4 linked regions of the Rhinolophus ferrumequinum genome follow. The main gene of each other region encodes a partner of the protein of the gene in region 4 in a complex. Links are inferred from orthologs where the notes say so. Each region holds a gene or a part of one and is shown on either strand. Other genes may lie near its edges.

Evidence for each region.
Region 1: TAF4 (region 4) and TAF13 share a complex: the UniProt entries of both Homo sapiens proteins name them as parts of the TFIID basal transcription factor complex. The link is inferred for Rhinolophus ferrumequinum from reciprocal best matches to the Homo sapiens genes TAF4 and TAF13.
Region 2: TAF4 (region 4) and TAF5 share a complex: the UniProt entries of both Homo sapiens proteins name them as parts of the TFIID basal transcription factor complex. The link is inferred for Rhinolophus ferrumequinum from reciprocal best matches to the Homo sapiens genes TAF4 and TAF5.
Region 3: TAF4 (region 4) and TAF7 share a complex: the UniProt entries of both Homo sapiens proteins name them as parts of the TFIID basal transcription factor complex. The link is inferred for Rhinolophus ferrumequinum from reciprocal best matches to the Homo sapiens genes TAF4 and TAF7.

The regions. Positions count from the first base shown.
Region 1 is NC_046305.1:41,352,101-41,359,897, forward strand, and holds the start of TAF13 (transcription initiation factor TFIID subunit 13), read right to left. Parts: upstream 3,015-7,797; 5' UTR 2,969-3,014; coding exon 2,894-2,968; intron 2,140-2,893; coding exon 2,061-2,139; intron 79-2,060; exon of another isoform or gene 1-78. UniProt on the Homo sapiens protein: The TFIID basal transcription factor complex plays a major role in the initiation of RNA polymerase II (Pol II)-dependent transcription.
Region 2 is NC_046299.1:21,905,919-21,913,212, forward strand, and holds the start of TAF5 (transcription initiation factor TFIID subunit 5), read right to left. Parts: upstream 3,003-7,294; 5' UTR 2,665-3,002; coding exon 2,106-2,664; intron 119-2,105; coding exon 1-118. UniProt on the Homo sapiens protein: The TFIID basal transcription factor complex plays a major role in the initiation of RNA polymerase II (Pol II)-dependent transcription.
Region 3 is NC_046307.1:15,636,504-15,643,765, forward strand, and holds TAF7 (transcription initiation factor TFIID subunit 7), read right to left. Parts: upstream 3,020-7,262; 5' UTR 2,378-3,019; coding exon 1,328-2,377; 3' UTR 448-1,327; downstream 1-447. UniProt on the Homo sapiens protein: The TFIID basal transcription factor complex plays a major role in the initiation of RNA polymerase II (Pol II)-dependent transcription.
Region 4 is NC_046306.1:1,376,307-1,383,797, forward strand, and holds the start of TAF4 (transcription initiation factor TFIID subunit 4), read left to right. Parts: upstream 1-4,480; 5' UTR 4,481-4,525; coding exon 4,526-5,693; intron 5,694-7,491. UniProt on the Homo sapiens protein: The TFIID basal transcription factor complex plays a major role in the initiation of RNA polymerase II (Pol II)-dependent transcription.

The sequences.
Region 1 (7,797 bases), on a different chromosome or scaffold from region 4:
GATTGGGTGTTCACGCTTTTGTGTGAGATGTGCCTCCTACAAACCTTGTTACGACAACGGCACATTACCCGTCTGACGTGAAAAAAAAAAAAAAAGAATAATTCCTATTTAGGAGAAGCAAAAGCTGGTAGAACTAAAAAGAGAAGAAAGTAGATCAGGCCTAGGGAAGAAAATAAAGGGGTGACTTGGAAGCCAGCCTGGGATAGAGGTATCCCTAGGGTTTACACTGGCAAGAACCTTTAGGTCCAGATAAGGAGGGAGAACACAAAAGACAGGAGCCAATATTCTCTCTCTCATTCCTTTGGATTCTGAAAACTTTCTTGCCCCCCGCCTCCCCTTTTTAAGATAATTTCAGTCTTATAGATGACTTACAAAAATAGCAGTTCCCAAATACCCTATATCCAGTTTCCCCTTATGTTAACATCTTATAAAACCATCAACATTTATCAAAACTAAGAAATTGACATTGGTACAAGTACAGAACTTACTCAGATTGCACCAGTTTTTCCACTAATGTCCTTTTTTTGTTCCAGGATCCTACACTATTTAATTGTCATGTCTCCTTAGTTTCCTCTGATTTGTGACAGTTTGTCACACTCATCTTTTATGACCTTGACACTTCTGAAGAATACTGGTCAGTTATCTTATAGAACGTCTCTCGATGTGGGTTTGTCTGATGTTTTCTCATGATTATATTGTGGTTATACATTACTAGGAAAGGTACCAAAGAGGTGATGTGACCTCTTAATGCATCACATCAGGGGTGCATGATGTCAATATATGTCACTGGTGATGTTAACTTTAATGATTTGACTGAAGTAATGTCTACCAGGATTCTCCCCTGTATACTTATTATTTTTCCTTAAATATTTTGAGGAAGAGACTGTCATTAATATTTTGATGGGTAGAATTCACTAATGGGGAAATATATTTCACTGGAAAAGGAAAATGTATATTACATAGTAAATATGTACACTGTATTTGGTTATAGGGTCTGTGAAGACATAAACAAATACCAGTGAATGCTTTGCAACTTTGTTATATTAGCAAAAATAATTTTTTTAAGTTTTAGGAGAACAGCTCTTGGTCAGCAATATATATCAAGATTGAAGTAAGACAAGGAGAAGGCTGTGAAGATTCCAAATTCTTGTCATCACAAAAATAAAGCAATCCAAGTAGAACAGAGATTTCTGCTAAGAACCGACTTTGGGGTACTCTGGTATAGAAACCCCCTTCATATGCTGACATAAGTAAAACCACGTACAAATGGAGTAAATGGCATCAGAGATGGAATAAGGTAAGGAAATGAGATATGAAGAAGAATCTGAGTGATTACAAAATAAAAAAACATACTGATTTTGCAGCTTCAAGAACCTTTAGGAACTGCTTACATCTGACCCAGCATAAATAAACCAGTTGCCCCATCCTGTGTTGCCCCATCTGTCAATACTCAGCCATAACTACATGTAAGGGACCCAGGATTGGGAGATTTTCAGGTGCCTCTCAGGGTGGCCTGGGCCATCAGTAGTAGCAGTAGTATTCCCTCTTGCTGACAAAAAGAGTTAAACCTGTCTATTAAGGGAATAGAACAGATGACCAATACACTATACTCTCTATGCCCCTGTAATGCCTCACACTGTTCACCACCTTCCTGCCTTGTCCACTGCCATAGTCGGAAGCTCCAACTTAAGTCCTACCCTCCGTACCTGTTCAAGGATCCATCCTAACCCTTGGCTTACAGCCAAAGAAGTCCCTGCTCCTACTGCTAGAAAAGTATAGGACAGGAAAAGTACAAGTATGTTCTTAGGCCCTGCATTGAAACACTGATCACATTTCCTCACTTTAAAAAAATGTGTGTGTATATAATTATACATACATATATAAAACTTGGGGTTAGGATCATTACTAGCTCTGATTCACAAGTTAAACAGAATTGTATAGGCAAATCCAAGAATAATGACCCTATAGGGAAAACACATTGAGAACAATAAATTTTTGAATGCACATGTCCAAAACATTTATTTTATCATCTATAATAAAATCGCTGTGTATATACTTACATTCTTTAGAAAAAAGTCTCTTTCTTTTTCCCTGTCCACCTTCTGCACCTCCTCCAATTTCTTCATTTTCTTCCTCAAACTAGAAGTTAAAATGTATATATAGAAATGTCAAGTAATTGCATTGCATTTGATTTTTTAATTTATTAATTTTTTTTTCCTATTTCAACATTGATACCATGCCAGAAAGCCTAAAGCAACAAATTAAGGCCCTAAAGACTGTATTAGTCCAACCTCCGATTCATGCAGGAATGGCTTCTAAAATGTCCCCAACAAGTCATTCTACTGCCTTTCCTGGAAGAGTTCCAGTGACCGTACTTTTTAAAAAAGACCAAGTTAGCCTATTGCTAGACAGTTTACTATTAGAAGAGTTGATACCGAATCAAAGCAAGCAAAACTAGTATTTACTAAGCGCTGCTTATACAGTGCTAGGCACTTACTTTAAGTAAGCCTTAACCCCATTTTGTGACAAGAAAACCGAGCCGCAAAGTTAAATAACTAGCTCACGCAGAATAAAGATTTTGAAATGCAGGCTCCCTGACTTTCGGTCCATACTTTACAAGTATATAGTTTTGTTAGCAATTGAACTGTTGGTTCATAATGAGCGCTAACATTAGCTTTGACCTCTAATAATTCCCTCGGCGTTATGAAGGTGTCTGGCATATATGGACCAAAAGCAAAGGGCAAGGGGCCACCTTCTTACTCTTCCTTCAAGTCCTGCTCGCTCCGAGAAAAATGGAAGAGAAAGGCTAGCGTCGCGTTAAGTCCCCGACTCTCTCGGCTGAATTCACTAAGGAAAATAGACCCGATTCCGAACTCGGCCTCCGCTACTGTACCCGAGAGAGTGAAGAAAAGAGCGGGTTGGAACAGAGGTGGTCACTCACAGTGGGGTCCTCTTCCTCATCTGCCATCCCACCAGCCAGCCTACAGAACCCGACCCGCCTCGCCCCGGGCGGGTTTTACTACTTCCGCCGCCTCACTTCCGGTGACGCGCGGGGCGGGGCGGGGCCTAACCAGGACGGACTCGCCGGAGAGGGGCGGAGCGTCCCGCCTAGGGGCCGACCTGGGCGCTGTTCTGGGAGAGGGGGAAGAGGTCTTGGCTCTGTCGTACCGAAGACGGACTTCAACATTAGCAAAGCAAAGCAAAATCATGGGTTAGGAGGCGTGTGTCTCGCTGTCACCCTAAATTTGCTTCTGCACAGCGAATCACTGTTTCCTGATTCGGTACTGCCAAGTCGTGGATCATTGTGGGGCTAGCCGGCGGTCTGGGGCTACCCCAGGCGTGTATTTAAACGGTTTCAACAATTTCGAGTTCCACTGTTATTGCCAAACACTGTATTGGTTTTGCGGGATATTGTTCTTCCTACTAGTTCTCAAGCCGGCGATTCTACCCCTTAGATTGGGGACTTACATTTTTGTGGGGAGTTTTTTGGTCAAAAGGATGACTGGGAAAACCGCAGGCATTAGAAGGGCTAAAACTAAGGACGTAAGATGTTCTCAGCGCAAGAGGTGATGCCACGTAAGGAAAAACCGCCCCACAATACACTATTTCTGAATGTTGTGCTGAACATTCATGTGAGTGAAAACTGTTTATAGTTATCTGACCTAACTTTGTTTACATATGTCCATTTATACATACACATCCCTGACCCTGATTCCTGGCACAGAGCTCCTAAAACCCGTGTAATTTCCTAAGTGATAAAAGCTCTAGGAGCATCTGTTCTATACTGGTGTCTGGCCTTTGACCTCATGCCTGACACAGGGTTCCTAAAACCCTTGTAAATTCCTAAGCGATAGCAGCCCTGACTCTGGGTGGGCTCTGGGATGGCTCCTGGAGGGGGGTTGGTCACCGGAAAGACAAAGCCATGATTAGAAACTTGGAATTTTCAGCCCCACCGGCCCATTCTTCAGAGAGGGGAGAGGGCTAGAAATGGAGTTAATTGATCATGCCTACATGATACATAAATCCCAATAGTAGGAGATTCAGAGAGCCACCAGGTGGGGGAACACATCCTCATACAGGGAGAGTGCCATATCCCAACTCCATAGGGACAGAAGCTCTTCACTCAGGACCCTTGCATATTTCGCCTTATGTATGTATCTCTTCATCTGGCTGTTCATCTGTATCCTTTATCATATCCTTTAATAAACTGGTAAACATAAGTGTTTTCCTGAGTTCTGTGAGCTGTTCTAGCAAAGAATCAAATACAAGAGGAGGAGCTCATTGGAATCTTCGATTTGCAGCCAAATCAGACAGATGTTGTGGGTATTCTGGGGACCTAGTGGGATCTAGTGTGACGATTGGCAGTTCAGTGGGCGAGAGAGGCAGTCTCATGGGACTGAGACCCTAACCTGTGGGTCTGACGCTATCTCCAGGTAGATAGTGTCAGAATTGAGTTAAATTGTAGGACACCTAGCTGGTGTTACAGAATTGCTTGGTGTAGGGGAAAAGAAAAACATACTTGGTAAACAAAAGAATCAGAAGTAAAATATTCTGTATGAACGGAGAAAGGCATACAGGAAGGAAAGAACTTGGAATTTTTCCCCAAACAGCAACTACACTGAAATGGGGCAGATTATACTTTGTTTTGTTTGGAACTTATCAAGAGCTATGAACCATTTCAGGAAATAATATCACCAAAGGCCACATCACTTGTAGTAATTTGAGTAGCCAGTACTCACTGGAATCAGTCTGCATTTGTAGCTCCTGCATTCATGATGATTCTATACATAGGTGCAAGCATCTAAAATCATTATACCCTCTAGTATAGTCATTCCTAGGCATTTACATATTGAAACATATTATTATAGCTTACTATCTTTATTTTACCTTTATAATTGTTAGGATAGTACATATTATTTTTAAATTATATGGGTAGTTAGGTGTATTCATTATTTACTGCTGTGTAACAAATCATCCCAAAACTTACTGGCAAAGACAATAAACATTTATCACTCCATTTCTGTGGACCAGGATTCTGGGTGCAGTTCATCTGGGTGCCTCTGGCTAAAGGTCCCTTACGTTGCAGTCAGGGTGTTTGCTGGGGCTACAAGTCTCATCTGAAGTGTCGATGGGGAAGGATCCACTTCCAAAATTACTCACATGGTTGTCAACAGGATTCAGCTCCTTCAGGTTGTTAGACCAAGGGCCTCAGTTCTTTACTAGCTATTGCCAAAGGCCTCCCTCAGTTACTTGCCACATGGTTCTCTCCACAGGGCAGCTTACAACATGGCAGCTGGCTTCTCTCAGAGCAGATGAGAGAGAGAACCAGGAAGAACACCCAAGACAGAAGCCACTGTTTTGTTTTGTTTTGTTTTGTTTTGTTTTGTTTTGTTTGTGACCTAACCTTGCAAGTCACATCCCTTCACTTCTATTCACCAGAAGTCAGTAAATGCAGCCCACTCTCAAGGAGAGGGGACTACACAGGATGAGAACACCAGGAGGCAGACATCATTGGAGGTTATCTGAGAGGCTACCTACGGCAGAAGGTTATGTCATCTGTGAATTTCATTTCAGAATTAAAAAGGAGACATTATATTTGTTATTTAAAGTAGACTATTGAGTAAACTAGGGTTGAGAACTGCTGTGTTAGGTAGTTCTAACAGAAGGAAATGCTCACCTTGTCCAGGAGATCAGGTATAACACATTCACGGTGTCCATTATCAGGGGAGTGGCTCGATAAAATGTACTGGAGGCACACCAACGAGTACTATGCAGCAATCAGAAGCAATCGACTAGCGACATGGACAGAGCTTAGAAACATAGTACCAAACTTAAAAAGTAGAGACACAGTAAAATCTGTAAGACAGTACCATTTATGTAAATTAAATATACATAGACACAAAAAATACATATTTTATAGGAATATACAAAAATGCATAGACATTAACTACATTAGAAATGTTGCGACATAAGAGAAATGGGAATAGGTATAAAGGGAATGCATAGATAAATAACAAATGAAGGACTTGGAAAAGAGCTCATTACGATAATATGTCACGAACTGAGGAGTGTGACTAATTCAACCTTTGGAACCAGAGATCCAAAACATAAAGGGAAAAAAATTGCAGTGTTATGAGCAAAGCAGAAATGAAGCACAGAAAGTGAAAAGTCATGGTATGCTTCTAGGAGATGTTTTAGGTAGATTGCCAGAGCCCAGATTGTTGGGTGGGGTGCAGGAAATGAGGGTGGAATGAAGCTAGAGTTAAGAGTGTAAAAGGCCTTATATGTTCTCTTCAGAGACTGCACTTCAAACTGCCAGGGTTTGGGGGCGATCTTTAAGCAGAAGAGTGACATGTCCCTATCTTTTTTAAAAAGATCACTTTAGCAGGGAGAGTTCCTAGGATGAGAGACAATTAGAACCTGAATTAAGAAGAAGAAGGAACTTTAGAAGAATTTACAGGACTTTGTGTCTGAATGAATTGGAGCGCTATGGAGAGAGACATTCCCATCCAGATTAATATGATGCTATTAATATAAACTGGAAAGTAAAAGGGGAAAGCAATTCGGAAAGGAAAAAAATGAGTTCAGTCTGAGTTTGAGAGTCTACAGATGTTCTAAAGACAGATGGAAGTGCAGGCCTGGAAATCCACAGACATTAGGACTAGAGAAAATGGGATTGGAGACATAAACACCAAGGTGATAGTTTAAAGACACAGGAAGGAGAGAAGGGAGGCAAAGGGCAGAGCCTTAGAAAAGGTACATCAAGAGAAAGAAAAGACAGAAGGAATGGCTCGAAAGATAGCAAAAGATAAAAGAAAAAAGACAGAGAGAAGAGAGAGAAGAGGAAGAGGAGAAGAATATGTTTTGAAAGCCAAAACAGAAAAAATTTCAAAAAGAAGCAAGTGGTCAGGTGTGCTCAGTACCACAGAAATTAAGAGACTTAAGAAAAGGCCTTGGATTTGACAATTAGGAGGTGGGAGAATAATCTGGACAAAATAGTTTGAGGGCAATGGTGAAGATGGAAGCCAGATTATAAGAGGTGAAGGAATGAGTGTATAGTCGGATAGTGAAAGATAGAAAAGCAAAGAGAGGAACCTAGCCTCAGAGGGCGGTAGGATCAAGGGAAGTGGACTTTGAATAAATAATTACTGAATGAAGAAGGCTGTGAATTTGTGTCACCTAGCAAACTGCTAGGAAAAGCCAGGTTTTCATTATAGAAAAAAAATGGAATGAGTTTTTAAAGATTAATGACAAAGGGTATTTGTTCACATAAAAATGAGGTCAGCAGAGAGAGACGTAGAGCTGAGTTCTGTGAGAATAATTTGCAAGGAACGGCAGGGGTGGGACTATCAGAAAAGAAAAACACAGGAGGCTGGGTGGTGGGCTTTAGGAATGATGGGAGAGTACCAACCAGACCCCAAATTTAGGCAGAAACTGTACAGTCTCACCCTCACCCTGCATCCCCTTCACCCCAGGGTATAGACCTCTGCAATGCTATTCCGTTTGGGGCTTAGGGAGGTAGTCATTGTTTAAATGGCTTTCAGAATTTCCACAATGCAGTCTTGACCATCTGCTTGTTCACCAAATAATGTCCATACTCTTTGGTTAAACATGCAGGCTCTGAGATCAAATGAGTTGAGTTTGAAGTCCTAGCTGTGCTACCTATCAGCTATTACTTTGAGACAAGTTACTTGACTGCTCCATATATCCATTTCCTCATCTGTGAGATGGGGATAATAATAGTTACTAACCTCATAAAGTTATTATGAGGCTTAGATGTGTTAATACCATAAGGTG
Region 2 (7,294 bases), on a different chromosome or scaffold from region 4:
TCAATGAAGTGTTTCAGTCCACTATAGTATTCTTCATACATTGTGGGGTCTCCTTGTTGGTTGTAAGCTGACAGCACAGCACTGACATCTGGCTGGTCTTCCACAGCTACACTCCCAACTGTTTAAAAAATGAAAAACAACTTTCAAGAAAATGACCTGAGATGCACCAAGTGACTACGGCTGTTTTGCTAAGGTCCACAGGTGAATTGTTTCTCAAATGTTTGTCCCTCTCCTCTCAAACTTTCTTCCCCAACACAATCACATAATCTTTTAATAGCATTTTCACTTTGTTTCAGTGACCCATCCAAAACTCCTTCATCTTGTCCATATCTTAAAATAAAATTTTCAAATCAATAACAAGAGATTCATTTATTTTTTTCTGGAGCTACCTTATTTTAAAGACAAATTGTACAAAACATGGATGAGCAAATCAAACAACTATGTCCATCTCCTCTCAAGGGTCAATGCAAACGGCACCCACCACCACCATCAAGCCATGCCCTGAAACAACATTTCCAGTTCTCTGAGCTACCTAAGTACTTTGTAACTTTACTGTAACCTCCTATCCTATATCACCTTCATTTATGTACATCTCTCATTCCTTATAAAATGTAAGCATTTTAAGGGTGGGAAGTTTGTGCCTTATTTATATTTCCAAAAGATATGCTTAAAACAATTTCCAGAACCACCATTTCAAGTCAGAAAATACGAGTATTTATTTGTAATATAGCAATATTACAATGCTATATGTATCAATCGAATCAGGGTTTTATTGTTGGAATTTTTAAGTTGCAATTAAAGTACTGTTATGTTCCTTACTGCACAAATGATATAAATTCTTTCGATTACTCTGATGGCATTTTCTTTCCATCCTTACTGGTTTCTCAGATATGATCTAAAATATAGGTCAGGTTTCTGAACAGATTATAACAAAATGACTAACATATATACTTCACCCATGTTTTAGTTCATTCACAAAATTCAGCATTCAGGGAAAGATTCCTCTCAATCATTTTTACACACTTCTATGTATGGGTTACAACGCTATGTATTTATTCTTCACTTCTGGCAATGCTGCAAAGATTAGGTCTCATAAATACAGATTAGCTAGAGGCTCTGTACTGGATAATTTAATTCAACAAACATTCATTATTGGCTCAGGATCACCTTTGAGACCTTATATTGTGTATAAATTTTAATGCACAGACTTTGTGACAACAGTTGCTAGGAAAAGGGGATCAGGGGGTGCTCAGGTGTCAGGAATGGACACCTAGGCATAAACTTTTCAATACCAGTCATTTTACATATATTATATCTAAGTCTCACAATAACCCATTTAATCGAGGAAAAAAACTCAATTTTGGAAGAATAACTTAATCAGCATCAACCACGTAAAAGCAACAGAGACACAATCTGAACCCAGGTCTGTCCAATGCTTATTCCTAAACAAATGGTTCTCAAACTTGGGCATACATCAATACCCCTCGGAAGCATTTACTCAAAAATGCAGATCCCCAGGCTCAGCTTCTAAAAGCTCTGATTCACTAAGTCTGAAATGATGCCCAGGAATCTGCATTCCCCCCAAAGCGTCAACACTCGTGGTAGTTAGCCCACATTCTGAGACATACTGGCTACACTACGTTCCATCACTCCGTGGCTGTGTGGTCCAAAGCAAGTCCTTTGGCCTTTCTCAGTCTGTTTTCTCATCTCTAAAATAGTGGAATTGTGAGAATTAAGATATAGAACCTAAAATATTTGTACAGAACTGTACAAATATTGTTAGTGCTAATGTAGACCTGTCCAAAGCTCAAGAACCCAAATAAGCGAAAAGGGACCGAAACACTAAGGGTCCGCGCCTCTCCGCGCCCACCTTCCGCATACATCCTTCTGCTCAACAGCTCTCAGCCTCTCGCTGGAACTGACAGCTCTAGGAATAGGGTTTGACTGCGCAGCCGGCGCACTAGAGAAAGGGGCGGGCATGTGGTCCTAGAGGCGGGCCCAGGAAATTCAAAACAAGCCCGCAGAGGTGCAGGCCTGCCAGCCTCGGCATTCCCGGCTTGCTCCCCTTCGTCCCGGCCCTGTCTTCCCGGGACCTCGCGGCTCACCTTTCCCCGGAGCCACAGGACCTGTTGCTGAGCCCGAGACGGCGGCAGCTCCCGAAGCGCCGGTTCCCGGAGGGTCTGGGGCGGCAGGACCGGGAGCCGAGGCTGTGACCCGGCTAAGAAGCGCGCTAGCCGCCTCTGTGCCGGCGCCGTCCCCATCTCCCGGGGCTCCGGTGCCCGCCACTGCCTCCTCCAGCAGCCGGGCCTCCCGGCGCAGAGCTTCTTCGGCCTCGCGGAGGTTGCTCTGCCGTAGGAACTGCAGCACGGCCAGCAGAGTCTGTCGGTCGTGGGAAGCGCCCGCCTCCGGAGCAGTGGCGGGCACCGGGGCCGCCCCCGCCGGGGCAACGGCGGAGACAGCCACCGAGGGTTTGGGGGTCCCACCATCCCGGCCGGCCGACGACGACGCCGCAACGTTCCCACCGCCGCTGTTGGGGCCGTTGTTGGTCGTGCTGCCGCCACCCTCGCCAGCGCCGTCCCCAGCCTGCGGAGGTAGCAGCGTCGGCGGTCCCTCGGGCTCTAACTTGACCGCCACCTCCGTCTGCTCCTCCGCCAGCGCCGCCATCTTGCGGCTGAGCCACCTCGCGCCGTCAAGTGCGATTGCGTTTTCGCCACATGGAGGGCGGGGATGAGCATTTCACGACAGCTCCGGAAGGCGATTTACGGCAGTGGGAGGGGCGAGAAGAAGGAGAAAAAGAACACGAGCGAGAGCAACTTTCAAAAGTGAGTGACAGAAAGCAGGAAATTGGAGATGGCGACCGCCTATTGCATTTGCCTGAAAATAATTACCACTTATTGCAAACCAACTGCTATATTCAGGCACTGTGATAGACGTTTTACATTATATGACTTTTAATTCAACAATTTTATAAGGTACTGTTGTCCTCACTTTACAGGTGGCTCAACGGAGACCCAAAGAGGTTAAATAACTTGCCAAGTCACTCAACAAGAAAGTGAACGTTTCAAGATTTGAATCCAGGTCTTTAACTCAAAAGCATATACCATTTGCCAAAGGGAGGCTTCTGAGATACTGGTAATGTTTTGTATTTTGATCTAAATGGTGGTAACTTTCTTTGTTGTTCCAATTTTTACTTTTGTAAAAATTAATCGAGCTGCGTGCTTAAGCTTTGTGAACTTAACAGCATATATGCTATATTTCAATAAAAAGTTTCTAAATATCTGAATTTTGTGATTGTGAAATGTGTACATTCTGTATTCATACTGTGTTATCCATTATTACAAATTGTAAAATTTCTGCATTTTAATTGTGTATTTTAAAATAGTATATGCCATTTTGCAGTATGCTTCATAGATTATAAAAACCCTGCTGCATATTTTATCTCACTTGAATCTCACAACTCTGTGGGATAGGTGAAGACAAGAAAAGTGAGCCTGGGACATGGGGAAGATCTAGCACTTATTCAGGTTATTAGTTTTGAGGTCTTACTAGCTTTCTTTGATCCTGATTACTAGCTGAATGACCTGAAGCAAGTTACTTAACTCACTCTATCCCAGTTGCCCAATTTCTAAAATAGGGATAATAATAGTACTTAACCTCAAAAAGTTGTATGCGGATTAAATGATATAATGTACATACGATACCTAATACGTAATAAATAGCTACTGGTTGTTCTTACTTAACCTTAAAAGGTGTTCTGTAAATGTTTGTTATGAAAGTCCAATCATGATATCCAAGGTAATCTCATGACTAAAATATAAAACTAATCTAATTGGATAGCTAAAGTAAGATGAAATATGGGTGAGAGTTGGGGAAAGATGAGCAAGAACTGATTAGCATTTACTTAGCACTGACAGAACCTGAATCTGATGGTACATGCTTATGACCTGGGAAGAATTCATCCTTTTCCTCAGGATCATTCAATTATTTTTTTCTGATTCAGTATTCAGTAGTTGATAATTGGTAATTAACTGAGCACTTAGTAGATAGATAAGAGATACCATGAATAACAAGCCCAGGTTTGTTTACTATTCCCTGGAAAGATGTTTTACCCCATTATGAATAGTATATTAATATTCTGATGCATACATTAGTCTCTCAAATCAGGTCCTGGGAACTGGATCCACCTGTACAACTGAAGCCCTGATACTGGACTCACAAAAGTACAGCCACTCGCTTTCCCTCTGTGGGAGCCACCTATTACTGGCTTTTTCTCTTTCCAAAAAATCTGGGTTGGGACTTCAGCAGAGGTAATTTACTCTAAGTACAGTGGTTTTTCCTGTTACACCTCAATAGAGGTAAATTTATTGAATGCCTATAAGGTCCACTATTAATTTTTGATTCTCTCTTCCCCTTCTTTTATGATCTTTCCCATTCTCCTCCTACTTTCTTTTTGGGATGCTTTAAGAGGTCCAGTGTCGATCTGTATCTCGTTACTTCATAGGAGAGCTGCTTTTTCTGGGTGTTTCTCTTTGATGTTCTTTCATTTCACACTAATGGATCCAAGATTAGACTTTTTTTCTGTCTATCCTGATTTGCCTCTTATGTACCCCTTCAATCTGAGATTTTTTTTTTCAGTGCTAGGCATTTAGTAAGCATTATATCTACAAATATTTCCTCCCTCCATTTTCCCCTTCTTCTTGGATTCTTAGGATGTAGATACTATAGTTATATACTCTAGGTCTGTTAACTTCAGTATTTTCATGTTTACCTTTCCCAGATCCCTCCTAGAAGAGTTCCTCAACCTGATTTTTCAGCGCAGTAATTGATTCTTGGCCTACATCCATACTACTACTCAACCCATTTATTGAGTTATTTACTTCAAACATTATATTTTTCATAGTATGTTAAACTAGTTCATGATTTATTGCTTCAAGTAACCCAGTTGGGTGATTTTGTCCCCCCACATATCCTGGGGGGACATTTGGCAATGTCTGGATACACTTTTGGTTGTCACAACTCAGGGTTGTGCTACTGGCATCTAGAGGGTAGAAGCTAGGGGTGCTGCTAAACTTCCCACAATGCACAAGACAGCCCCAGCCCCACCACAACAAAGAATTTTCTGTCTCAAAATGTCAATAATGCTAAGGGTGAAAAACCCTGATGTATACAATATGAACTCATTTTTTTTCCTTTGAGGATATGTATTGTTTAAATTAACTTTCCATCTGATGCATTTAACCTGTTACATTTACTTTAGGTTGTTCAGTTTTTCTTACTTTAATGGGAGTTGCACTTTTTTCTATATCTCATTACTTTTCTTCATTAATTTGTATTTCCCTGGAGGTATCATGTACCTTGGCTGATACATTTACCCAGAGGGAGAAGGTGAGGGATGCCCCAAAAGGGGGAAAGCCTGTGGTATCACTATCTGGGCTTCATCATTACCTGTTTGCCAGCGCGCACACGCACGCACACACACACACACACACACACACACACACCACCCCTCTCCCCGCCCTCAGGGTTTTCAAAGTTTTTACCAATCTATTAATTTCTGTGTCATCTCTCGGGTTGGGTGTGATGGAGGAACCAGCCACCAGTGAGAGTTTACCATGTTGTTTAGTTTCTGAATTTAAACTCACACTGGTAGCTTGATTTTAGTTTAATTAATTTTAAATTGACCTGCAGTTGGAAATCCCGAGACTAGAGTAATTATTATTAACGAAGTATAGTTGGAGGAGGACATGTGAATAAATGCATAAAATATATAGGTTTTGGAGACACAGGACTTCATATTTAAATTTGGGAGACAAGGGCAGAGTTTATTGTGAGAATAATTTCTCGGTATTTGGCGACGGTGACTGAAAGGATGACTGAGAATAACCTGGTTAGGGAAGAAAACTATGAATTTGGTTTTTGACATGTTGAATTTGAGGTCCCTAGAGGTCATGCAAGTTTTGCTGGCCATAGGCAGAAGCATTTTATGGGTTAAAATGCTTCTAAGCATTTTAAGGAGAAAAATCGGGGCCAGAGACATTGATTTGGAAATCAGCATATAGATGGTAATTGAAGTCATGTGAGTGAATAAGATTACCCAAGATATTGCATAGAGCAAGAAATGAAGAAGTTCTAGAATAGAATTCTGAGGAACATCCATATTTAAAGGCTAATCCAGGGACCACTTTGCTCACATGTTCTTGAAATTACCTTTTCTCCTGAATCTTGGGACCCAAACTTTTCCTTGTTTTCCTTCTACCTCTGGCCACTCCTCGACTCTTCTATTGCCACTACTTCCTCCTCTACTTCATTTTTATTATTCTTTCCAGGTTTAATTTATTTAAAAAAAATTTTTAATCGACAATTTCAGATTTACAAGAAAGTTGCAAGAAAGTACAAAGAATTCCCAGATACCCATCATCCACATTCCCCAAACGATACATTTACTACATATGCTTTATCCTTCTCTGGCTCTCCGTCTCTGCCTCTCTGTAGATAGATAGATAGATAAATAGATAGATACACTGATATAGAGATCTCTATGTAGATACAGATATAGAGTTCAGACTTAGTTCAACTCAACTTACTCTTAGTAGTTCAGAAAAAAATGTATATGCACGTGTTTTTTCTGCATTACTAAGAGTAGTTATTTACAGGCATGATGTCCCTTTACCACTAAATACTTCAGTATGCATTTTCTCAAAATGACATTTTCTTACATAACCAAAGGACAATTACCTAAATCAATAAATAAACATTGATACAATACTCTTGTCTCAATAATTGTCTACAGACCTTACTCAGATTTTTCTGTCTCAACAATATCCTTTATAGCAAAGAAAAATCCAAGATTATTCATTGCATGCAGTTGTCGTATCTCAATAGTCTAATTTGAATCCTCCCTTTTTTGTATTTTTTTAATGTTTCCCCACCCCTCTTTTTTTTGTATTTTATAACATATATTTTTGAAGAGTACAGGCCAGTTAATTTATAGAGAATGTTCTTCAATTTGAATTTGTCTCATGTTTCCTCATGGATTGATTCAGGTTCAATCTGTCTCATCTTTGGCAGGAATAGTACAGAAGTGATGCTGAGTTCTCAGTGCGTCGTATCAGGAAGCATGTGGCTGTGGATTACTCCCATTGCTATCAATGTAAACTTTGATAATTTGCTTAAAGTGGTGAATGCCAGATAGTTTGAAACTATGTAAATATCCTATTACCTCTCAAACTTTAGCTCACCAGTTTTAACATCCATTGATGATTCTTGGCCTGTATCAATTATTCATATGATGGTT
Region 3 (7,262 bases), on a different chromosome or scaffold from region 4:
TTATCAGCTTGTATGACTACACTTGAGAGGTCTGGAAAATTTAACATTTCACCACTCATGTTTCTTGTCAAATACCTAATTAAAATGGGCTTTAAATGTTTGCTCCATGAGGTTAATTTTCAAACCAAAGATTTTCTTTATAAACCAATCTCAGAAATGAATTGCACCAAACTCTGCATTTTGTAAATTTTATCACTGATTCTTCCAAAATAGCTCAAGTAAGGCATTATATTAGAATCTTTAGAGTATGTAAATATGAAAATTATGTTTAAGAAATATTGAAATAAGAAATTATAATACTGACCTTTATAAACAATTTTGATGAACTGACACGGACAAATCATCTCAGTTCTCAGAGTACTAAATAATTACAGTAATTAAGTTGAAAATATTTAAAAATATAATCTTAATCCAAACCAATGGAATGATTCTTTGAAAAGTACCTGAAAGCTTTGCTCTGTTTTGTTTCTAGTTATTTCAAGCAGGTGAGTACAGTGCTTTAAAAAAAAAACACAAAACATTAAATAAGACCTTCATGTACAAAAGTTAGGGTTGTTTAGGAAGGTTCTGTACCTAGTGTTTATTAACCCTCCAAACACAGCAGGTGGATTAGAAACTTAACATAATGCAGCTATTTCACAATTTGTTTGCTCTTGCTGTATTCATCTTTTTCTTAAAACCCAACATAACTGCTTTTTTCCCTACCAAACAGGTCAAATTGTTCAGTAATTAAACTGTACCAAGAAACCACCTCACAAGAGGATCTGATGCCCACAATCCCTAAAACAGCAAGACTCATTATGAGGTGAAAACTAGTTTCTATTTATTGTGTTAAAACAATTTTATGAAATGATTTACAACTCTACATGTATAAAATTGAATAACTAGGAAAATAACTACTGCATGGGAAAACATTATGCGAACTAACTTAACTGCCTTTAGACTACTCTTCTTAGTGATCTTAGATGGCATCACAAACTAGCAAAACCAGTTGCTGGCAAATGGAGAAACAGCAGCAAAGTCCTGCAGTGAAGTTTTGATTACAAAGTTTGAACTGTTCATTCCACTAATCCTACAACTTTCCTACAATTATGTATCTTTCTATACATTCCTACTTCCTACATGATAAACACCTAACAAAGTGGTTCTGAGAGACAAATGAGATAGAAATTCACATTTCTAGTCGTTTAAGACAAATTCAATAAAAGGCAGCAGAAAAAAACAGAAATTACCATATAGTTCTATCATCTAGTCCAAGTAATGAAACCAAAATTTTTCTTCTAATGCTGACCACTTTAAGGAATGAATTTAAGTATCAAAGCTCTTTTCACTTCTCTAGGAGTGATTCTAGCTCTTCTTGCAGAGAGCTAAGCTGCTCCTTTTCTCGGTCTTCCTTTTGTTTGAGTTCATCCAGCACAGCCTGAAATCTGTTCTTGAGAGCCAGGTTTTCCACTTTCATTATGAGATCTTCCTGTCGTTTTGCCCTGTCCTGGGTCTCTTGGAGCTTGCCTTTCATGTTATCAATCTGTTTCTGAATTCCCATAACCAGCTGATTGGTTCCCTCATTTTCTTGGTGCTGTTCATCTGAAGCACTTAGCTTGTCCCGTAGCTGTCTTTCCAGATCTTCCTCAGTGTCAATTATGTTTATATCTTCTTCATCTTGATGCTGCGTCTCATCTTCATCTTCACTGCTGCTGCTGAGGTCATTGAATATCTCCCGAAGCTCATCATGTTCTAATGAGTCATGGCCCTGCCTATGGCCTGACATTCCTGGCGAAGAGATATCAAGGCCTTGATTTTCTGTTTCTTTTGTTTCATCCTCAGCAATTATTTCCCAACGAGTACTGACAGCTTCGGCATCTGTACTAAGCAACCGCTTCACTTCTTTTTCCACATCTGGAGATTCAATATACTTCTTCTTTGCTGTCTTCCGGAACCTTCTCTTCCTGACATTTTTTAGAGGTAGAGTGATTCCATGGTTCCATATAAACTTTTTCTCTTTGTCCTTATCTTTTTTTTTGCTTGCTTTGGGATCAGCAGCAGCAACTGGTTCCTCCACTGGAGGATAGAGATCACCATCAACTGTGGATACAAGCATCTGACAAATATCAGCTGTCTTGTAAAAGGTTTTTTTATCAATGGTTTTCAAACTTTCCATAACACATGGCAGATCTACCAATTTTGAGGCCAGTGGGACCCGGTCCACTCTGACGATTCCATGACGCCCATCAGGGTGTAACTCAATTGTCAGTCTGTCCTTCAGGTTGACATGGCCAGACTGTACTGCCCGCCTCACAGTAGATGCATATTCCGGAGGCAGACGTAAGATAAACTGGCTCTCTAATTCGTGAGGAGCATCATCTTTGCTCTTACTCATGTTTCTTTGTGACTCACTTCTCAAATGAACACTTGTCGCACTAAAACGTTCCAACTATATCAAGTTAGAAAGACCAGTTTGTTATGAATTGAAAAATTCAATTACAAAGAGTTCTAAGAAGAACAGCAGCTTAGAGTCTACTGGTTTTTTTTTAATTAAGCACCAAGTCTTTTTAAATATGCTGTGACTGAATACCAGTTGTTACTGGCACTGGATTATTCAGTTAAGTCCTTTTGAATAAATTAGCTGCAATGCCAAGTTCCAACCACTAGATGGCGCTGCCGGACAATACAGAGCAAGCAAGCAGAAAAGCAAATGGCGGCTTCTGCGGAATGATTTTCGGCACAGAAAGTAAAGGCCCAGAAGACACTCCCAATTCACAAACTCTCCCCGAACAAAGATAGTCAAAAAGCGGGGTGCAGTGAGCTCTCTTCGCCTCGGATACTTACAGTCCAGTAACAATTATAAACCGAGGTTCTCCGGACAGGAGCGAGCGAAAGAGAAAGCCACTGGGAGAATGGCGGCCGGGGGCCTAAAGTCTCCTTCCTGACTCCTTTGTTTCTCCCGGCTCTTGGCAAGCGATCCGCTGCTGATTATCAATGAAATGACCCAGAACGGGCAGCGCGAAATCTCACCGAGATCCGTAGCTCTGAGCGCCAGACTCCGCAACTCAGCAACTCGGCAGCTCCGCAACTCGGCAGCTCCGCCTACAGCTCCTCAGCTCCCGGGACCGTCAGGGGAAGCAGACCTAGCGGAGAAGGAAGTAGTACGTCACGGCGCGGGGCGGGAGACGGCTGTGAGTGACAGCACGACTCGAGCGGAAATGCGGTCTGCCCCAGCACGCGCAGGCGCAACGCGCAATTGCGATATCAGGTGTCCGTCTGCTCGCGAGAACTTGGTTTTAGGCGATGGGAATAATTTTCCTTAAAGAGCTATTGCTTTGAAAATATTTAGAGACACCGGTTCCAAGAAAGACCTAGATTTTCCCGCACCCACCTCCCCGCCCCGCCGCTAAGCCAGAACTTTTACCGGATCGCCCTGGGGCCGGATAGCTCCTAGGCTTCCCGGTGATCGTCGGGTATAGGGCGTCTGTGCGGAAAGAGTCTTTGCTTCAGGAAACACCTCCGATGCTCCCCAGGGTATATCCAATTTCGAGTGAATACAAGAATTTATAACTAACCATGCAGTGGATTTGAAAGTATCCAAATCAGTGGAGTGAGGAGGACATGCTGCCCACTATATAATTCTAAGTCTATATTTTGTTGGTTATGAAAATGCTTGGAGTGGACTCATGCCTCAGGGTCAGTTTCTGTTGTGAAGGACCCCAAGGGAATAAGGGTGATTCCTCGTTTTAATAGTATGTTTGACGTAGATATAAATGTAAACAGAGAAGTAAGTGTTCTTCAAGAGGCATATGTTCATTTAGGACAGAGTCGTCTAATAGACAAATGGTCTGATTGCGGTAGAATATAATTGAAGTATTACTCCCTGCCACTCGCTTGTAAATTTTAAATTAGTTAGGAATTGTTTTCATTCCACTCTGCTATTTTGATAACTGTTTTGTGCTTGTCTCCTCTATTTATGTAGGCAGATATTTATCAGCACGTATCTATAGTATTTAAGCCTAACTACCGGTGTTAATATATATAACAGCTTCCACTGATTCCTGCTCATTTCCATTTATTTTTTAATGGAATCGTCCTGGTAGAGCATCAAGGTCATTAAAATTTTAATTTCTATCCTCTATTACCAACTGCATCTAAATTTAAGAGAACTCTTATTAAAATGTGATTAACATTTCTAAAAGTTCACTTCATTTCTTTATGTATTGTCTCCCTCACTCCCTCAGACTGGAAGCTCTCTGATCATCAGGAGTCTTCTATCTTGTTCATCATGTCCCGGTGCCTAGTATCAAAACATGGGGGATATACAAAAAAATATTTGCTAATTGAATGAACCAATTGATCCATCTAAAAGGAGCATAAATATAGTCTATAATAATCTGTGAGATAAAATACATTCTATGTCACCTTAAAATGAGATAAAGCCACTTCATATACATTTCCTCTCGTCAAGGACGGTGCCAATTGTTATGAGCAGAGAGCTTTGCTAATAGTGTGTCCTCTTTGGTTTAATTAGACTGTGTATCTTGGGAGGAAATTAAAATTAAAATGGCCTGGCACCAGTTTTTTTAATGTTAAGTTTGAAGTTGAAATTATGCTTTTTCAGATAACTACATTAGTTCTCTTTGTTCCAAAATGTGTTGAAGAAAGTTGGCTGATATATCATCTATAATTTCCAGGATGATCTATTTCCCCCTTTTCAAAGGTGAAATTCTTTATTGTGCTTAATTATACTGATGGTCCCTTAATTATACCTGATTTTACTTATTTTATAGATAGAAGAGTTTAACATGCTAGCTTCTGCATAGTGCTTTATTTGACTATATAAAATGTGATTCTATGCTTATACATGAAAATAATCCAAATGTTGCTTTGCACTTTAATTGCCTATAGTTTTATGATGCTCAAATATCCTGTCACAGAAAGTAACCTGAGATAACAGATGCAATTCTGATTTGCCAAAATATGATGTATTTTATTTAGTAAACCTTTAAATGGAAGATGGTCAGAGATAATTAAAAGGATTAAAGTTTCCCCTAAAGTATGTACCTCCTTATCCTGAAATATATTTTCTGCTTTGGAGTTTAACACATTTTCTAAATGCGGGATTTGTATGAGGGAAAATTACAGTGATCCTAAAGCTAAGGTCTCTGTCACATTACAATTACCTTAATGTCTGTTGATAATCCAGTTGTTCTCTTTTTAAAATCAATAGACATACATAAACACTCTGAATTGATGACAGAATTACACTTCTGTGGTTGTTCCTTGGAATATCTGTGATACTAGTGAACTAAAGATTTGGGGAGAGCAATAAATTCCCCACATGGTAATGACCTCCAAACGCTTCCTGCCTATGATAAAGGAGTATCAAAACCAGGATAATGCTGTAAAATTATTGGTGGTGGGAAAAGCCCTGCTTATATTTTGGAGATAGAAAATTATAAGGGAGAAGAAATAGCATATGCCCCCCAAAAGTACTCTTACATACTGCTATATTGGTGTATAAACAGTTAAAAGCAGGTTAACTAAAATCTAGTTAATATAGTTAAAATATAGCATCAAGTATGATACTTTCCATAGAAAAGACACCATCATAATTTACATTGGTTTAAATAAGAAGAAAAATCTAGTATCTCAAAAACCAGGTAGTCTAGTGTAGCTCTGTCCAATAGAAATATAATATGAACCTCAGATGAAAGCCATATATGGTATATTAGTAGCCACATTAAAATGGCAAAAAGATGCAAGTGAAATTAATTTCAATACCATTTTATTTAACTTAATCATCAAAAATAACATTTCAACATATCAAGGTAGAAATTATTAATGATATATTTTACATTCTTATTTTGTACTAATCTTCAAATCTGGTGTGTATTTTGCACACACAGCACATCTCAGTTTGGACTAGCCACATTTCAAGTGCTCAGTGGCTGCATGTGGCTGGTGGTTACTGTATTGGACAGTGCAGTTCTAGAAGTATGGCTGCTTCTAGGTATGATAGAATCATGGCCTGGCACAAATTGTTTTTTTCTTCCTAATTTTAGAGAATGAGCATTTATTTATACTTTTTCTATTATTTTTCAGTTTTGTCCTCATCTCCTTGTAAACTTCCAAAATCTGTGGTGACAAGAAACCTGCCAGCATAGCTGGGGAACTTCCATCCTTGTCCATGGTAAGTTCAGAGAGTGGTTCCCCCAAACCAAAATCTGTCTTTTGATCTGATTGGACTAACTTAGGTCACATACCTATCCCTGGATCCATAATAGTTACCATTTTTATTTTCAAAATTGTGGCAAAGGGGTGATATTGGTAATGTCTGGTGACATTTTTTATTGTTAGAACTGTGGGGGTGGGGTCTTCTGGCATGTAGTGGATGGAGGCAAGGGATGTTGCTAAATATCCTACAATTACACAGAACACCTATTCTCCCCACCCACACAAAGAGTTATCTGCTCAAAGTAGTATCAAGGTTGAGAAACCCTGCCTTAAGCTTATTATTTTAAGCCTATATTCCCAACTAAACATTGACAAGTGGAAGGAGATTACCATTATTGGTTTAGATCTCTGAGAACATGTTACAGCTATGAATAGATTCAGCTCTGCCTTAGGTACCCAGAGGGTGGGCCCCTAAACTAAAAAGGAAGTGTTAGAAGAAAGGAAAGGGCATGGGTAACTGTCATAGTCCATTTGGGCTGCTGTTACAGAATACCATAAACTGGGTGGCTTGTAAACAACAGAATTTATTTCTCAATTCTGTAGTCTGAGATGTCCAAGATAAAGGCACTAGCAGATTTGTTGTCTGGTAAGGGCAGGCTTCCATGTTCATAGACAACAGTCTTTTCACTGTAACCTTACATAGTGGAAGGGGTGAGGGAGCTCCCAGCAGCCTCTTTTACAAGGGCATTAATGCTATTCATGAGGACTCAACCCTCATGACCTAATCAACTCCCCAAAAACTTTACTTCCAAATACCAGCACTTTGGGAATTAGGTTTCAACATATGAATTCTGGGGAGACACAAATAAATATTCAGTCTATAAAGGCAACCAATAGTATCCATGAAAGAACTAATTATTTGGGGGAATAGGATAGTATATATGTAATTCCAAAAATATCCAAATGGCCAATGAGCACATGAAAAGATGCTCCTCAGCATCATGAATCACTGGGGAAATGCAAATCAAAACAACAGTGAAATACTACCTCACACCCACTAGGATGGCTACTATCAAATAAATAAATAAATAAATGTTGGC
Region 4 (7,491 bases):
GCCAGCCACAAAAGAACAAAGACTGTGCCATCCCACTGTTGAATTATCTGTTTCTCTGTTTAACTCTGTCCATCTTTGCTTCACGTATTTGGAAGCTGTTATGAAACTCCTAACAACTTAGGACTTTTGTCTTCTTGATAAGATAACTGTTTTTCATGATGCTGTGTCCTCTTTTATCTTGACAGTACTCTGTGGTGGTCTACCTTATCTGGTGTCAATATCGTCTCTCCAGGCTTGGTAGGCATACTATTTGTATGATTTACATTTTTTAAAGTGCCTCTCTTGAAAATAGTACATGGCAGACTCTTGCTTTTCTTTCCTTTTGATGGAAGTGCTTAACATTTAATGATTAATTTGGTGGGATTTAGGTCTATCATCTCTGTTTTAGGTTTGTTCCTTCTCAAATATACTTTTTTGCTCCCTTTTGGATTATCTGAATTTTTTAGCCATCGATTTTTGTTTGTTGATTTTTAGCTATACCTCTGTGGTTTTTTGTTTTTTTTTTTTCTTTTTTGGTGGTTGCTTTAGGGATGACAATACATCTGAGCTATGAAGTAAGCTCGTCTCTGAGCTACACTAGTGAAATCCACCCACGATGGCTGTATGTAGCTAGCCATTTTTCAGAGTCAGCCTAGAGACTGGTGTGATTGAGTCATTCCAGAGTTTGCAGACAGCCAGCCCCCATCCTGGAGCTCTGGGTCAATTTTGGAGAGGCAGCTGGCCTGGCTCTGACTCGAATTTAGGAGCGTGTATCGAACTGGTGGTGTCCTGCTGTTTGAGAGGCTTTGTGGACAGAGGGGCCGGTCAGCCCAGGGTGGCAACCTCGAAAGAGCAGCTCTGACGTCTGTCGCTTTAAGGTCCGAGCCCTGGGTTTCTGCCCCACTTGGGCTGTTGACTTGACCTTCCCAAGCCTCAGTTCCCGCCTCTGCAATTCAGGCTTGGCTTAGCACGGGAAAGTCTCAGTGCGTCAGTGTGCTTATCATGGGTGGTCACCCCAGCAGGTTTGAGCATCGTCACTTTCTTGGCAAGGCAGGACAGGGAGGGGACTGTCCTGATCAGTGGACTCCACTGCAGACCCATCGAGTCACAGGCTGGTGTCTCGTACTCCAGCCTCTCCCGCCCACTTCCTGGGGCACAGGAGCTGGTAAGGCTGAAGAGGGCCTCGTGATTTATCGGATAGGTCTTTTCTCCATAGTGGACAAACTAGTCATCTGGTACATTGGGTTGAATAGTGTCCCCCCAAATTCATATCCAATGAGAACCTCAATGTTATTTGGAAATAGGGTCTTTGTACATGTCATTTTGGATGTACGGTGGGTCCTAAATCCAATAACTGGAGTCCTCTTGAGAGGACAGACACACAGAGAGAAGCTACGTGACTAGGATAAATGTCGGTTAAGTCCCCATTGTGATAATGCTCTGAAGACCCTAAGAAACGAACGTGTCGCTGCTCACAGATCAGTTAGGTGTTCATGAGCTTGTCCCTGGCTGTGGGTCCACGCTTAAACACATCCCACTGAGCCTGCAGCACTGCCGGCAGGGGTGGGGAAGTCAGCCAGGTCGATAGGACTCTGGGGCACTGGCCTGCGTCACTGGCCATCTAGATAACTGCATGTCTTTTTTTCAAAAATGTTGTTTCATTATGTAGTATTTCAGACAGACAACCAAAGCATGGGAAAGGTAACAAACATTGCACATCTTTCACACAGCCACAGCGAAGTTGAACTTACTGAGTCTTTGTTGTTTATTCTTGTCTTTCAGCGAGTGTGTCTGATGCTTTCTGTATTTTATTGAAAAGACAACAGACTGCTGAGTAAGAAGCCCACACAGCTGCCTGTTTGCCCAGGGCCTGGCACATCTGCAGTGTGGCAGGTGGCAAGGACGTCCTCTTTTGGGTTCTGCCGTTCTCACAGCAAACATTTTTCTGCGTTTAAGCGTGGTGTTTATATTTACTCCTTTCTTTCCTGTTTTTCTTTTTATGCTATGTGGGATTTTACTTTCAAGCTATGGAAGTCAAAACTGCTTGTGGAAGCAAGTGCAACCACAGAGATATTCAAAGAAAATGGCCCACGTCCCCAGGGTGACCAAGGTTGGCAGTGTGTCCCCCACCAGCTTTGAGGGAGGGGAGGAGCCAAGTGGCTTCTGTACTCCTCTTGTTCACTCTCAAAGTGGGCAGTGCTCTGGAGGGCACCAGTACAGCTGCTAACTCTAACTGGTCTGCAGCTCCTACCTTTTCCTGGGGATGCAGAAGGCCCACCCCCCCAGGGAAGTTGGGATGGCAGGGGGCAGGGCACAGACTCTTAACCTCCCACACTTCCTGCTGGACTGGAGGGTGCCCCAGAGGACTGTGGGGGTGATGTCAGCACAATGCAGGAAGAGGCCTGGTGCAGAGGGGAGGGGCTGTGGAGGGCATCCAAGGACGCCGAGCCCAGCTTTTGGAGGCCCGGGGAGCACACCGGGTTGGAGGGGTTCTGGTGGGCCTTCAGGGAACTCAGGAGTTCACCACGCTGTGGGCAAACAGGAGCAGCCTGAGATGGCACCCGTGACCTTTCTCTACTGAGGATTTGCGTCATGTAGCAGGGGCGGGCTTAAGAATGGGTCCCCTCCCCCACAGCCACAGGCCTTGGAGAGGCCTCTGAAGCTGTGTTTCACTTCCTAGAGGCATCCAGCGTTCTGCCTGCTAGCACCCCTGATTTCCATCTGAGTGTTTTGATTTCTATCTGAGTGTAGACTATGGTAGACCCTCTGCGTTTCCTACGACACATGTTGCACCGAGGGCCGAGGTTGGTTTGCTGACGTTTTTGTCTGGTCCACTTTAAAATGTTCTAACTAGTTGTCAACATTTAAAGAGGACAAGCGGTTACACACAATTCCACATTTCTGCTCTTGTTTAAGAACTAGACTACCAGCCCAGGCTGGGTCAAGGTACGCAGGCACCCAGTTCTCCACCCCAGGGCGCCCCTGAACCCTGGTAGTTCCTTTCCTTTCCTGTCCTCTGGGTGCTAAAATTCCACTTATCCTTGGAGGATTTACCTGACACTGTCCCCCGGGGAAGCACTTTTCCTGGACTCCAGTCCCTACTGCTCTTTGGGAAGCTGGGGAGGGTGACCCAGAAATCAGCCCAAGGGTTTGAAAAGCTGCGTGGAGCCCGCACAACAGCCCAGCTGGATGGGCCTTTTGTTAGCGTGGCTGGAGAGGACGTTTACTGCCAACTGTTTCCCTTATTGTGCTGAGGTCTGTGTTACCGGGGCCACAATCCCTTCGGCAGGAGCCTGCTCCTTTGATCTCCCATTTTGCCAGTGAGGCCTGAGAACACTTCTCTCTGGGCTTCCCCCAAAAAAGGAGAAGAAATACCACTAAAAATGTCCCAGAACACCATCTTTTGGTGAAACACAAAGAACCAAACCAAAACAACAACAACAACAAAAAACAAACGCAGAGAGAATTTTCTCTGAAATAGTTTATAGAGGCGCTTGTAAACATGATTTGAGATGACTTACAGGAAACGAGGAACAGAAAGGGCCCTCCAGATCGGACTGCTCCCTATCCAGCTACCGGTCCCCGCAGGCGCGGTTGGCTCACCTAATAATTTATAAAAGACACTCGTGTCTGGGAACCGTGAGGCCGGATGAAATGACAGTCACTCCGGAGAGGCCTCAGGCTGACTCAGCCGGGGACCGGCCTGGGTCGGGGCGCACGGGTCCTCCGGCCCGCGCCCCGCAAGCTCTGCAGTGGTCCCCGCGCCCGGCCGGCCGCCGCACGCTTCCTGCGCGAGCGCCTAGTAGAGGACCCAGCGCGTTCGCCCCGCCCCGCCCGGAGCAATGGCGCCGACGCCGGGGCGCCTTCCCACCCTGGACCCCTGCCCCCGCCCTCCACGAGCGCACGGTCACCGCGGGCGGCGGCTCGGAGGGGCTCCCGGTCCCCGGAGCACGGCGTCCCCGCGCCCTCGCCCGCTGGGCGCCCAGTCAGCTCCCGTCGGCTCCGGCCGCAGCCATTTTGGAGGCAGCGGAGACAAAGAGCGAGACCCCATCGCCGTCCCCAGCAGGCCTCGGCCGCGATCCTAGCCCGCCGCGGCCTCCCGCGGTCGACCCCGGGCCCGCCCGGCAGCCCGCACCCCCACAGCCCGCAGAACCCCGGCGCCCACCGCCCGGCCGCTGTGCCCGGACGCCCGCCCGCGCCCCGGCCTCTGCCGCTCGCAGCCATTGGCCGCGCCTTTTAAGCGCGCGCCGCGACCAATGGCGAGGCGCCCGGCTACCGGGCGGGGGGGCACCGCGGCCAATGGCGAAGCGCCGGGCGGCGGGCGGGGGCGGGCGCGCCGCCGCGCCTGCGTAATGCGCCGCCGCCGCCCTCCCCCCGCGCCGGCCGCCCGCGCCCCCCGCCCGGCCGCCGCCCCCGCCCCGCCCGGCGCGCGCCGCCCCCCGCCCGCCCCCGCCGGCCGCCAGCCCGCCCGCCCGCCCGCCCGCGCGGAGCCGCCTCCCCGCCCAGCGCCGGCCGAGCGGCGGCGGCGGCGGGCCGAGGAGGAAAGATGGCGGCGGGCTCGGATCTGCTGGACGAGGTCTTCTTCAACAGCGAGGTGGACGAGAAAGTGGTGAGCGACCTGGTGGGCTCGCTCGAGTCGCAGCTGGCGGCCAGCGCGGCCCAGCACCACCACCTCGCGCCCCGCGCACCCGCCGGCGCGCTCGGGAACCACGCCGGAGCCGGAGCGGCCGAGGGCGCGCCCGCCGCGGCGCCGGAGCCGCCCCCCGCAGGTAGAGCGCGGCGCGGCCTGAGCGTGGCCGGAAGCCGGCCGGGCCCGCGTCCTCACCGCGCCGCCCCGCTTGTCCCCGCAGGGCCGGCCGCCAAGCTGAGCGCTCTCGAGGCCAGCGCGCCGCCGGGGCCCGGAGCCGGGGCCTGCTCGGGACCGGGGGCCGCGCCCGCGCCCGCCGTCAAGCCCGCCGCCCGCAACGGCCCGCCCGGCGGCCCCGGCGCCGCGCAAACTTTGAATGGGAGCGCCGCGCCGGGGAACTCGCCGCGCGCCGCCGCACCTGCCGCCAGCCTGCTGCTCAACGGGCCCGCCGCCCGCACGCCGCCCCGCCTCGGCGCGCCCGCCGCGCCCGCGCCCCCTGCCCCCTCACCCCCCGCGCCCCCCGCGCCCGCTGCGCCCGCTGCCGCCCCGCCGCCGCCGCCGCCCGCCGTCGCCAGCCTGGCCCGGCCGCCCGGTGCCCCGGCGGGCCCCCCGGCGGCCGCGCAGAACGGGGGCAGCGCCGCACCCGCCCCGGCCCCGGCCCCCGCGCCCGCTCCCGCCCCGGCCCCAGCGCCCGCTCCCGCCCCGGCGCCCGCCGCCAACAGTCAGCCCGGGCCCGCCGCGCCGCCCGCGCAGGTGGCCAAGGCCGACTCGCCCAAGACCGCGGCGCCGCCGGCGCCCCCGCCGCCGCAGACCCTGGCGGCCAGCTGCCCGGCCGGCGCGGGGCCTGGCATGATCCTCGGGCCAACTATGCAAGGGGCGCTGCCCGCCGCCGCCGCCGCCGCCGCCGCCGGCACCCCCACCGGGCTGCCCAAGGGCTCGGCCAGCGCTGTCGCCCAGAGCCTGCCCCGCACGCCCTCGGTCACCACCAGCGGGATCCGGGCCACGCTGACGCCCACCGTCTTGGCCCCTCGTCTGCCACAGCCGCCCCAGAACCCGACCAACATCCAGAACTTTCAGCTGCCCCCAGGTGAGTGAGCGACGCGCGAGTCTGCTGTCCCAGCTGGGAGTCCAGGAAGTTGTAGGGTCTGGCACGGGCCTGTGGGAGCCGAGCTGTAGCCGTGCCCAGGGGCAGGATGTCACCCGGGGTGAGAATGTGTTCTTGCACGTCCCGGTGTCCTGTGGCAGCTGGGGTCTCTTACCTGGTGCAGAGGTTGGTTTCAGTTTATGTCCTTGCCTTGCAAAGTTTCTGGGCCGGTGCTCACAGTTCTCCTCCCGTCCTCCGTGCAGTGCAGTGGCAGCAGGCGCTGCCGGGACACCTTGCTGGGTTATACAGGATGGAGAGACATGGCCTGGGTCCATGGTCTTCCCACGCTTGGCACTTCCCCTCTTGTGTCAGGGATCAGACATATGGTCTGTGTCCTCACTGAGCTTCCCTGCTCCTTTAGTTTCGGGGCTGTGATGGTGTTCCCGGTGGGTCGTGCAGAGTGACGTCCCCTCCTTGAGGCTGGGCAGGTCTGCATGGAAAGCTGCTGCTTCCCTCCTAACACCAGGATGACAGGCACCCCAGGTGAGCCCTGGAGGACTCCTGGGCACACAGCCTTCCTGGGATTTCAGCCCTTCCCATCCCACAGTGGGGTTCAGCTCCGTGTGATCACTTAGAGGACGCCTGGTTCCTCTGATCATGACCGTCCAGTGACACCAGCGGCGGGCACATGCTGTCCAGTCAGCGGGTCTCCTGGAGGGTCAGATGGTGCCGGACCTCACGGAGCCCAGCGCGCTCAGTGAGTCCACTCAGTTTCCTGTCATCTTGGCGCTTCTTTGCGTGTGACAGTGCAAGATCCCCCAAGCGTTCTGTGTCGCCGCTTGGTTCTGGGATTCCCAGGCAGAGGGAAACTCGAGCACTTGCTGTGCCATTTTCTCTCTTCTGTCCCCTGCACTCGTCAGCGTGGAGTGAGTGCTGAGCTTCTGGAGAGCTCCTCCCTGGCTGTGTAGTAACATGTGCTGCTGGAGCAGCTGCTGTGGTGGCAGAAGTAGTAGAAACAGCACCTCCGTGTCTCCTCGTGCTTGCTGGAAAGAGCATGGGTCACCCTGAAAAGGAATTTCAGCGTGTTAAGAAGGCAGGGTTTCCCTGTCCAAGTCAGTGAGCTTGGGCAGTGGTGCAGAGCGTGGCGGGGACCTGTTTCTGTACGGGCACTGGTAGAGAAAGGGTGCAGCCCCAACCAGGGGCTACTGGGGCACCCGTGCTTGAGGAGGAAGAGGTGGTGTGAGATGCCGCTCATGACATGTTGTGTTTGTTTCTGAGTTTGTCAGGGTGTTTCATTGACGGTTCTCTTTTGTTCGTTGATGTGCCTCCTGACCTGTAAGTGGAGAATGTATAGGCTGATCTTTAGTTACATTTAAAACAGGAAATTCGTGCTTATAGTTCATTATGTAAAACGTAGGATACTTTTGACCTGTCCACGGCCATGTCCTTTCGGTGGTCCTGTTGGCTTTAGATTTGTCTTTCTCTTACCAGGATGGTCCCCACATTCCGCTTTTGTTATTTAAAAGTGGGCGAGTTTGTCAGTGAAGTTTGTGAGGCAGGTGCTTGGCCAGGTGTGCAGGGGTGGTGAAGAGGCCGCTGGTGCTGCATGAGGCCTGCAGGTGTGGTGGTTTGGGGTTCACTGGATCCCCTTCCTCTGAGCCTCAGTATAGGTGCAGCCCCTGCCGTTTTTCTTCTGGGGGAGGAAGCTGTGGTTCAAAAAGGGTGTCCTGTCTTTGTCATGGGTGACCGTGGACTCACTTTCATCTCTGTTCAAATGTCAGTATTAAGGATGTGTTCACGT